Linked DNA regions of Drosophila melanogaster. The gene in region 1 interacts genetically with each later gene. Each region holds a gene or a part of one and is shown in the gene's direction. Other genes may lie near its edges. The genes, in order: PPP1R15 and PEK.

The links.
Region 2: of PPP1R15 (region 1) and PEK, changing one suppresses a phenotype caused by changing the other (phenotypic suppression), as found in Drosophila melanogaster (one study listed by BioGRID).

What each region holds. Positions count from the first base shown.
Region 1 is NT_033778.4:23,975,329-23,979,255, reverse strand, and holds PPP1R15 (protein phosphatase 1 regulatory subunit 15), read left to right. Parts: upstream 1-2,000; 5' UTR 2,001-2,364; coding exon 2,365-3,108; intron 3,109-3,168; coding exon 3,169-3,378; 3' UTR 3,379-3,657; downstream 3,658-3,927. Other genes in the region: mr (morula), read right to left, coding at 3,916-3,927.
Region 2 is NT_033777.3:5,463,048-5,466,974, reverse strand, and holds the start of PEK (pancreatic eIF-2alpha kinase), read left to right. Parts: upstream 1-2,221; 5' UTR 2,222-2,542; coding exon 2,543-2,760; intron 2,761-3,079; exon of another isoform or gene 3,080-3,182; coding exon of another isoform or gene 3,183-3,244; intron 3,245-3,854; exon of another isoform or gene 3,855-3,894; coding exon of another isoform or gene 3,895-3,923; intron 3,924-3,927. Other genes in the region: RpL35A (ribosomal protein L35A), read left to right, coding at 601-822, 948-1,175, 1,244-1,267. UniProt on the Drosophila melanogaster protein: Phosphorylates the alpha subunit of eukaryotic translation-initiation factor 2 (EIF2), leading to its inactivation and thus to a rapid reduction of translational initiation and repression of global protein synthesis.

The sequences.
Region 1 (3,927 bases):
CATCGATTCGAATCCAACTGAATCCACACCGAACTGAACTGAACTGAACTGTGAACTGAAGAAGCACTGAAAACGAAACTCTCGGCGCAGCGCAACGAAACCGAAGCGATGAGATACGAATGCGAGTTGGGTTTGGATTGGAAGTGGAATCGAAATTGACGGCTGGAGTGGAGTAAGTGAAGAAACGAGCGCGACGCGAGCGAATAAACTACGCAAAAGATTTTACGTTTTTATTTTGTTGTACATTTGTGTATTTGTGATTTTGTTGTACTTGTTTCTTATGCAGCCCCATGTACTGCGCTGTATGTAATTATGCATATATGCCTTGCACATACATACATATATATGGCTCTGCTGTATCCGTGTGGGTGTGTGTATTTGGTGTGTGTGAGTGTGGTTTCGATTGTGATTGCTTCCCGACCAACGTCGATCGCTCACAGCTGTTCAAGTGAACTGACTGCAAGTTGATTTGAGTTGAGTCCACAGCACGTAGATACAGATACATGCACCCATACCAGCGTCACATACACGAGCTGTCGCTGTGTGCGTGCCAGAGACCGAAAGAGCGCAGGTTTTTGCGAGAGTTTCCTGACTCGACGAGTCAGGAGCGGACTTGCGGTTAGTTCAGTTGCATTGGCATAAAAGTGCCTTACGCCTTCCTTATTTTCCATAAAAGAGTTATTTCAATCAGCATAGAATTCTTTATTTGATTCGGTGCCCCTTTAAGTCATCAATTCTTCACAGCGCCCTTCTGGCTGGCGCCACCCGCACTGCGCCCCTTGGTTTGATATCAACTGTTGCAGTAGCGCAACAGTGTTGGTGTGCTGTGTGCGGGGAGGGGTGTGTACATGTACGCTTATGAATCAGCTGTTCCACTGTGTATTAATCATATGGCTGTTTGATTAATCTGTACGTTTGCTTGTGTGTTGTATGCATGTATATATACGAGAATAAATACACATTACGTATAAGCGTGCAATATACATATGTGCGCATGAATATGAATCTGGCTTCTGTTTATTTCAGACGATTCCGAACGGTCTTGAGAGCGGAAAATCTGAATATTATACGTAAATATCAGATATTATATGTATGCCAGTACATACATCCTCAGAAAACATATGCATGCAGGCACTATGCTGCCATATACGAGATCTCGAATAATATGCATAAATGGCATGCAGTTAACGTAGAACACTCGAATATTATGCGAAAATATAGAGATAACTATATATATTAACAGATACAAATTCGATGTACATATGTACACATAGTATTTATCTACAGAATGACGCAGCGGAACATGCACTTGCATTTTCATACAGTGTCAGGTATAAATATCGGGTAAAGAACCATGTACATGCAGTGTACATACGAGTATGCATGATTTAATTGTACTCGGACACACGGAAGTAATCGAGTTGATCGCTGCGACCGCAATATTTCATCCTAAGTTTTAAGGCTGCGATATATTTATTTACATTTTATTCTTAATTTATTTCTTTTAAAATAAGCAAATCTCCCAACATACATAATTCTAACAATTGGAGTACTATAACTAGATCTGTCTTCGTCTTCATAAACCAGAATCATGAACGATGACTCATCAATCATATGATCAATTTTTAAAGTGACTTCCTAGGAGCTTATGATCCATAAATTTGTATATCGGTGTTACATCCAGCTTAAATAAAAGTATACATTTATCACGGTTACTTAATATTGCTATTAAATCGCAATAATACCTAAAAATGTTCACTCACGGAGAAAAATCAGATTATCAACAATAAACTCATTTTCAATCTGTAAATAGAAAAATATTTAAATAACCTCTTATTTTAATAAATCTGGAAAGCCCTTTTAAAAGTTTCAACAATTTGAAACTTGAAATTGAAATTGCCTATCGATAGTTTGCAGTTGCCCGTTTTGAATGGGACGATTTTGTGGGGTGCTTAAGTGAATGGTCACAAAAACAACAATACCCAAGGTGATTCAACGTCTGTTATCGATAAATTTTCAGCTCTAGTGAAAAAGTATGGAACTATTCTGGTATAAAACGTGTAAAACTCTGAATATTATTGTGCCTGGACTCTATATCTCGCTATATACGCTACAAACGAAAGCAGAACTAGCCTACAACTGAAAAACAGTAAAGTGCAAAGGATCGGATGCACGACATACGTAACATTTCACCATATATGTGCGTTATTTCACTCCATATTACATTAGTTAATCGCAGTAACCATGGATAAGTGTGTTTCAAATTAAGCTGGCCACCATGCCCCCCAAAGCCAAGTTCAAGAAAATGGCCATTCGCAAGGGATTCCCACCACACCAAACGCATACTTGTGTCTTTAAGTTCAGATGTCGAAATTTCACACCCTTATGGGCGCACTGTTTGACCCCTTCCTCTTTGTTCTCCGCCTGATTGCAAACATGAGTTCCCCTATCTACGAGCAATATCGGTTCGGGCCGTCACGTCCCCTCTCCGCTGGATCACGTACACTGTGGAAGCCAAACAAGGTGCATCAGGAGGCACCCGAGGTCAAACCGCTCGAAGTCCCCGAGGATTTGCGGATCCCAACCCTGCAGCCAGACCCCCTGAATCCGCTGGCCACCATGATGTCTTTCAAGCTAATGGCTATGGACGTAGTAACTCAAATGCAGACCGCCCTGCACAAGTGCGTCAACGCCCAGAGTCCGCCGGGCGCCAAGATGGCGGGAATCGAGTTGGACGCCTTGCGGCGTTGCGTACCGTCCTCGTGCTACTTCTTTATTGACCTGCATCCGCACCACGGCTTTAAGGATACCGCGGAGGATTGCCCTACTAGTCAAGCCTCCAGTGACCGGAATAACAACGCTGGCTGTTCGCAAGGATCGGCTGCCAAGAGCTCCTGGCAGCGGCAGCGTAGTATTTCCGAGTGCAGTGAGGACAGCTTCATTTGCTTTGAGGACGACGCAGAGCAGGCGGATGAGGATGTCGAGGAAGACGAGGATGATGATGACGACGACAGCAGCGTGCAGTTTACAGCATGCGGTGAGGATGAAAATACCGAGGAGCTAAAGGCCTGCCAGTGCAGCGACGACAGCTCGACTCCTGTCAAGAAGGTGAAGAATATTTTTGCGCGGCATAAGTGGGCATATCTAATTTCCTATTTATGCGCACAGGTTCGTTTCAACATGAAACCCGAAGTTCACGTAATGCTCGCCTGGGACTACGCTTATCGGGCTGCCAGAAAGAGCGAATGGCAGGTAATGGCGCGAGATCGGGATCGCTTTCAGCAGCGGATTCGGCGGATTTCACCCATTCTCAATGCCGTCCTGACTCCAGTTCACCGAGATCGTGTCTACCAAGCTCGATTCTTGCACGAGGACTAGCTGGTCCGCATACCTGAAGTAACTTTTGATGTACAGATTACAGTTTAGAACGATTACAGCATTAAATTCCAAGTTGTTTGCGTGTATAAAGTGATCGATTTAGCCACTGCGTTCGTGATTGATTTTATGAAGCCAAAAACTGTTTAACCTGTAAAGTATATCAAAACCACGTACACTTTTCTTCGCCTTTAGTTTTAGAGCCCTAAGAAGTTTGAATTTGTTGATAACGGGATTAGCATATACCTTAATATAACTTGAAATAAATTAAGCAATAGACGTATTTTACTGTGTGTTCTTCTTTTCACATAAGATTGCTTGCATTGTGTTCCAAATTCCCAAGCCAAACAAGTTTGGGTAAAGACTTTGTGTGTACGTGGGTGAGAGATAAGCTCTGAATAGAAACAGATAAGACGGCAGTTTGAAAAAATAGGTACGTTTAACATGGAGCAGTAAATTTCATAAATGTTATCGCGTTAATTCATTATTTATTTCATGATTCCTTCAGTCGTTTGCAACTTGGTTTTGGATCTCCGAAACTTATTTGGCCAA
Region 2 (3,927 bases), on another chromosome or scaffold:
TTTCCGCGGACACCATAATGGGAGTCTGTACACCGGAAAAACGGCAAATAATCATGGAATAACCTGCAAACGCCAACCCACGTGCACAAAAATCTACTGGCGAACTTTATCTGTGATTTTTTGTGACTAAGTGGTTCCTTGGGACAACCCAGGATAGGAGTACCCTACGGGCACTGCCCGATTCGTAATAGCACCTCGATGCCGTCCAAAAGTTCCATGCTTCGCACAGTGCACATTGATTGCAAAATTTCAGCGTTCATTTTTGGCCTCCGCTTTTCTTGTTGTTTTTAACGTGATTTCAATAACTTCTTGTGGAAGATTAATAAGTGATCCGTGTTATCAGTTTTTGTTTTTATCATTAAATGTTGCCCCAGGCCGGTCGGGTACAGGAATTTTCACCAGACTCCGCTTTATTTTTATATAAAATGATGTTTTTAATGTACTGTTGCCCAGAGCTGTGCACCTCAATATCTTCAATGTTTAAAGTACTTTTCGTTTAATCAAATGCATGCAAATGATCGAAACCCTCAAGCCCCAACGAATACCTATGATGAATGCCTACGGCTCTAAAGATTATCTTTTCTCATCCACAGCTAAGCCATGGCCGACACACAAGCCAAGTCCACTACTGCGCCCAAGGCCGCCAAGGCCCAGAAGGCTCCCAAGGCCGTCAAGGCGCCTAAGGCCGAGAAGCCCGCCGCCTCAGAGGCTAAAGTTTCCGCCAAGAAGTACAAGCGTCACGGACGCCTCTTCGCCAAGGCCGTCTTCACCGGCTACAAGCGTGGTCTGAGGAACCAGCACGAGAACCAGGCCATCCTCAAGGTATGTCTATACTTCAATGTGATGGGTCCGGACTTCACAGAGTTTTTCAAATAATAATTAATACATTCCAGTTCTGTAAAAACATTTTAGTAATGTAATTGATTAACCAACATATTACATTGCAGATTGAGGGCGCCCGCCGCAAGGAGCACGGATCCTTCTACGTTGGGAAGCGTTGCGTCTATGTCTACAAGGCCGAGACCAAGAAGTGCGTGCCGCAGCATCCCGAGCGCAAGACCCGCGTCCGCGCTGTCTGGGGCAAGGTCACCCGCATCCACGGCAACACCGGCGCTGTGCGTGCCCGTTTCAACAGGAACCTGCCCGGTCATGCCATGGGCCACCGCATCCGCATCGTTAGTTCAAACACACCTTTTCTGTCCGACAATTGGGTTGTATTAACATGCCTTCTTTTTTCTTGCAGATGCTGTACCCATCAAGGATTTAAGTTAATATCCGACTTGAATTACTGACCTGCAGGAGTAAAAAATCCGTTTTACATTAAATGAAACACTTTAAATTTAATTAAAACGCAACTTGGCTTTTTTATTAAGGCGAGATACCGATTGAAAGTTGACGGTAATCTGTATATCGATTGATGGCTGTTCGGTTTGACTTTCCCTACTGCAATGAATTATCTTTTGGCGGGACCATCCACTTCGCATTAAAATCCATTTATATTGATCTTAAGTAGCAGATGAAGACGATGGAAACGTTTTAGAGTACGAATTGAATGTGGATTTCGAGACTCTTGGCTAATGTCGTTCCTTTAGATCAGACATACCACTTCTACCATAATAGATTTTAATTAGTTTTGAAAATCTCAAAACTATTTTTTGTATTGCCAAAGTCAACGAATACTGTAGTGTGTACTACTAACGAATCTTTTCGCAAGGACACTAGGGGTGTATGGCGTAGCCTTTCTGCTCGAAAATCATACGAATTCAAGTTTCTGTTAATCAACAATGCGGTTTCTAAAAAAATCAAGGAAATGGTTTCATAGTAATCAAAAGTTTTTTAAAAAGAATAAATGTTGTAATAAACGTTTCTATATTATGACGAATATACCACCTAACATATTTTTAGAAGGTAGAGCATATTTAAATTAAAGTAATGTTTGAATTTCATTTGGTATGTGTCAGAATTATAGCCGAATAGAATTTATTTTTAAAACACGTCGAATAATAGAAGTATTCAATAAGAGATGAGATGGAAATAATACTTCATCTACTTTAATAATTATTGTTAAGTTGTCCCTATTTGTGTCAAAACATGGGCGTCAAACATTGTTTTAAATTAGTTACTGGAAAAGTTTAAAATAGTAAAACCTTAGTGAAACTGTTCCCACCGTGTGTATTTTTTTGGTACTTTTAGGTAATGACGAAATAAACTGTATTGTGGTGTCATCTGTTATTTTAAGGCTGTCAAAACGCGGTCACACTTGCAATCGCGCGTTTTGCGGCCCAATCGGAACAAAAACATAAACTGACCAGTTTTAGTGGATTTAAATAGTGGAGTTGCGATTGATTGCTGCAGGAGCCATCGAGAGTGATGCGGAGATGTGCGCCGACCTTGCCGGGAGCCACTGCCGCCGCTGTTCCACCAACCGACCCCCCGAAGTGAGGTCAACACGTCACCGTTCGAACCAATTAGAGACTTGCATTTCTGCACCGTTCCCCGCGTCCGATCGCCAACGACCAGGATTACGTTATATGCGCGTACGATGCAGGACGACCTGGATGGCATCGTGAGGCATCGTCGCCGGAGCCTGAGCTTCCTGCAGATCGTCACGCTCACTATGGCCGGCCTGGTGGCTTTCGATCCCGCCCAGGTGCTAGCTGGGCACCCAACTACTGATTCGGAGCTCCAGACTGCCGGATCTCCCCGTCCCCCCGGGCTCGAACACTGCGTAGATCAGGAGGAGCGTCGCGTTGCAAGAAGGTACGTACCCTAACCAAAGTATCGGGAGGAATGCACTGGTATCGAATGGATTGTAGCAGAAGAAGAAGAGTGCGTTATGTGTGTGTTATGTTTATGTTCTCGAACATTCGCTAAAACGCGGTGCAAGTGGATAAACGAGCAGCCAGCACCTAGGCAAATATTGCGAAGAACACGTTAGTGATATTTGGTTGAACTACTCGAAAAGTGCCTATTTAATCAGCTAAAACGGGGAATTCGAAGAGAACTGTGGTACGACGGGGGGCCAGTGAAAATACGTAGCTCAAAATTCTCGGCTGATCCGACAAGTTGGTAACATTTGCGACGGCCCTTAGCTTTAAGTACCTTGTCCCGTCTAACACGAGAAATTCGGAGAGCTTCTGTTCAACTTGAAGTCTGGGAGCGATCTGATAATATGAACCCACATGTTTGCACCTTGGCCAACTATGAAAACCCGTAATCAGTGGACGCGCTTATCAAGCATGCGGTGAGTCATTTGCAAGATCTTAACTGAATTTTTGTTTGAGGCAGACGTCTAGATATGTTGTTTGGCAAGCATGCCAATCCGAACTGGTTTCCCCGATTGTTTTGCTTTCCTTTGCGTTTGTGCAAGGTTTTCACTGAATTTCACAATTCTCCCCCCGTTTGCTTTATCCCCCCTTTTTGCGGGCGCCATTTTCGGCTCCTTGGTGGGCGCGACAGAGATGGCGATAGGGGAAATGGAGAGGGGCCAACTGACACTTGTTGTTCCTCGAGTTCTTGTCTTCTTGGCGCAAAAACAGCTGAGTTTACTTCCCATTTACCTTTTCTACGCTGTCAGCTGGGTCTGCCAGTGTGCCCCTTTTCCTGCTTTCCTTTATTCTTGCCCCATGCACCGTGTACCTGGTGACGGAATCGGTTGCAAGCACAAATCAACTTTTTGTATAATTGCAAATTTAACTCTAGTATTTAATCTTTCGAGTTGAAATATTTTAAACAGTTAACCAAAGGCTTACTCACTTACAGAAAATTCAATTTTTACATTAATTGCACGAATAGAAAATATTACATAAAAATCAAATCATTACTTGAATCTATGTATGCTGTGTTTTTTGTTTTTTCTTCAAAATCTTGTGTTTGTTTATTTCAAGCTCGCCCATGGTAATTGGATATTACCTACATAAAGGGTAT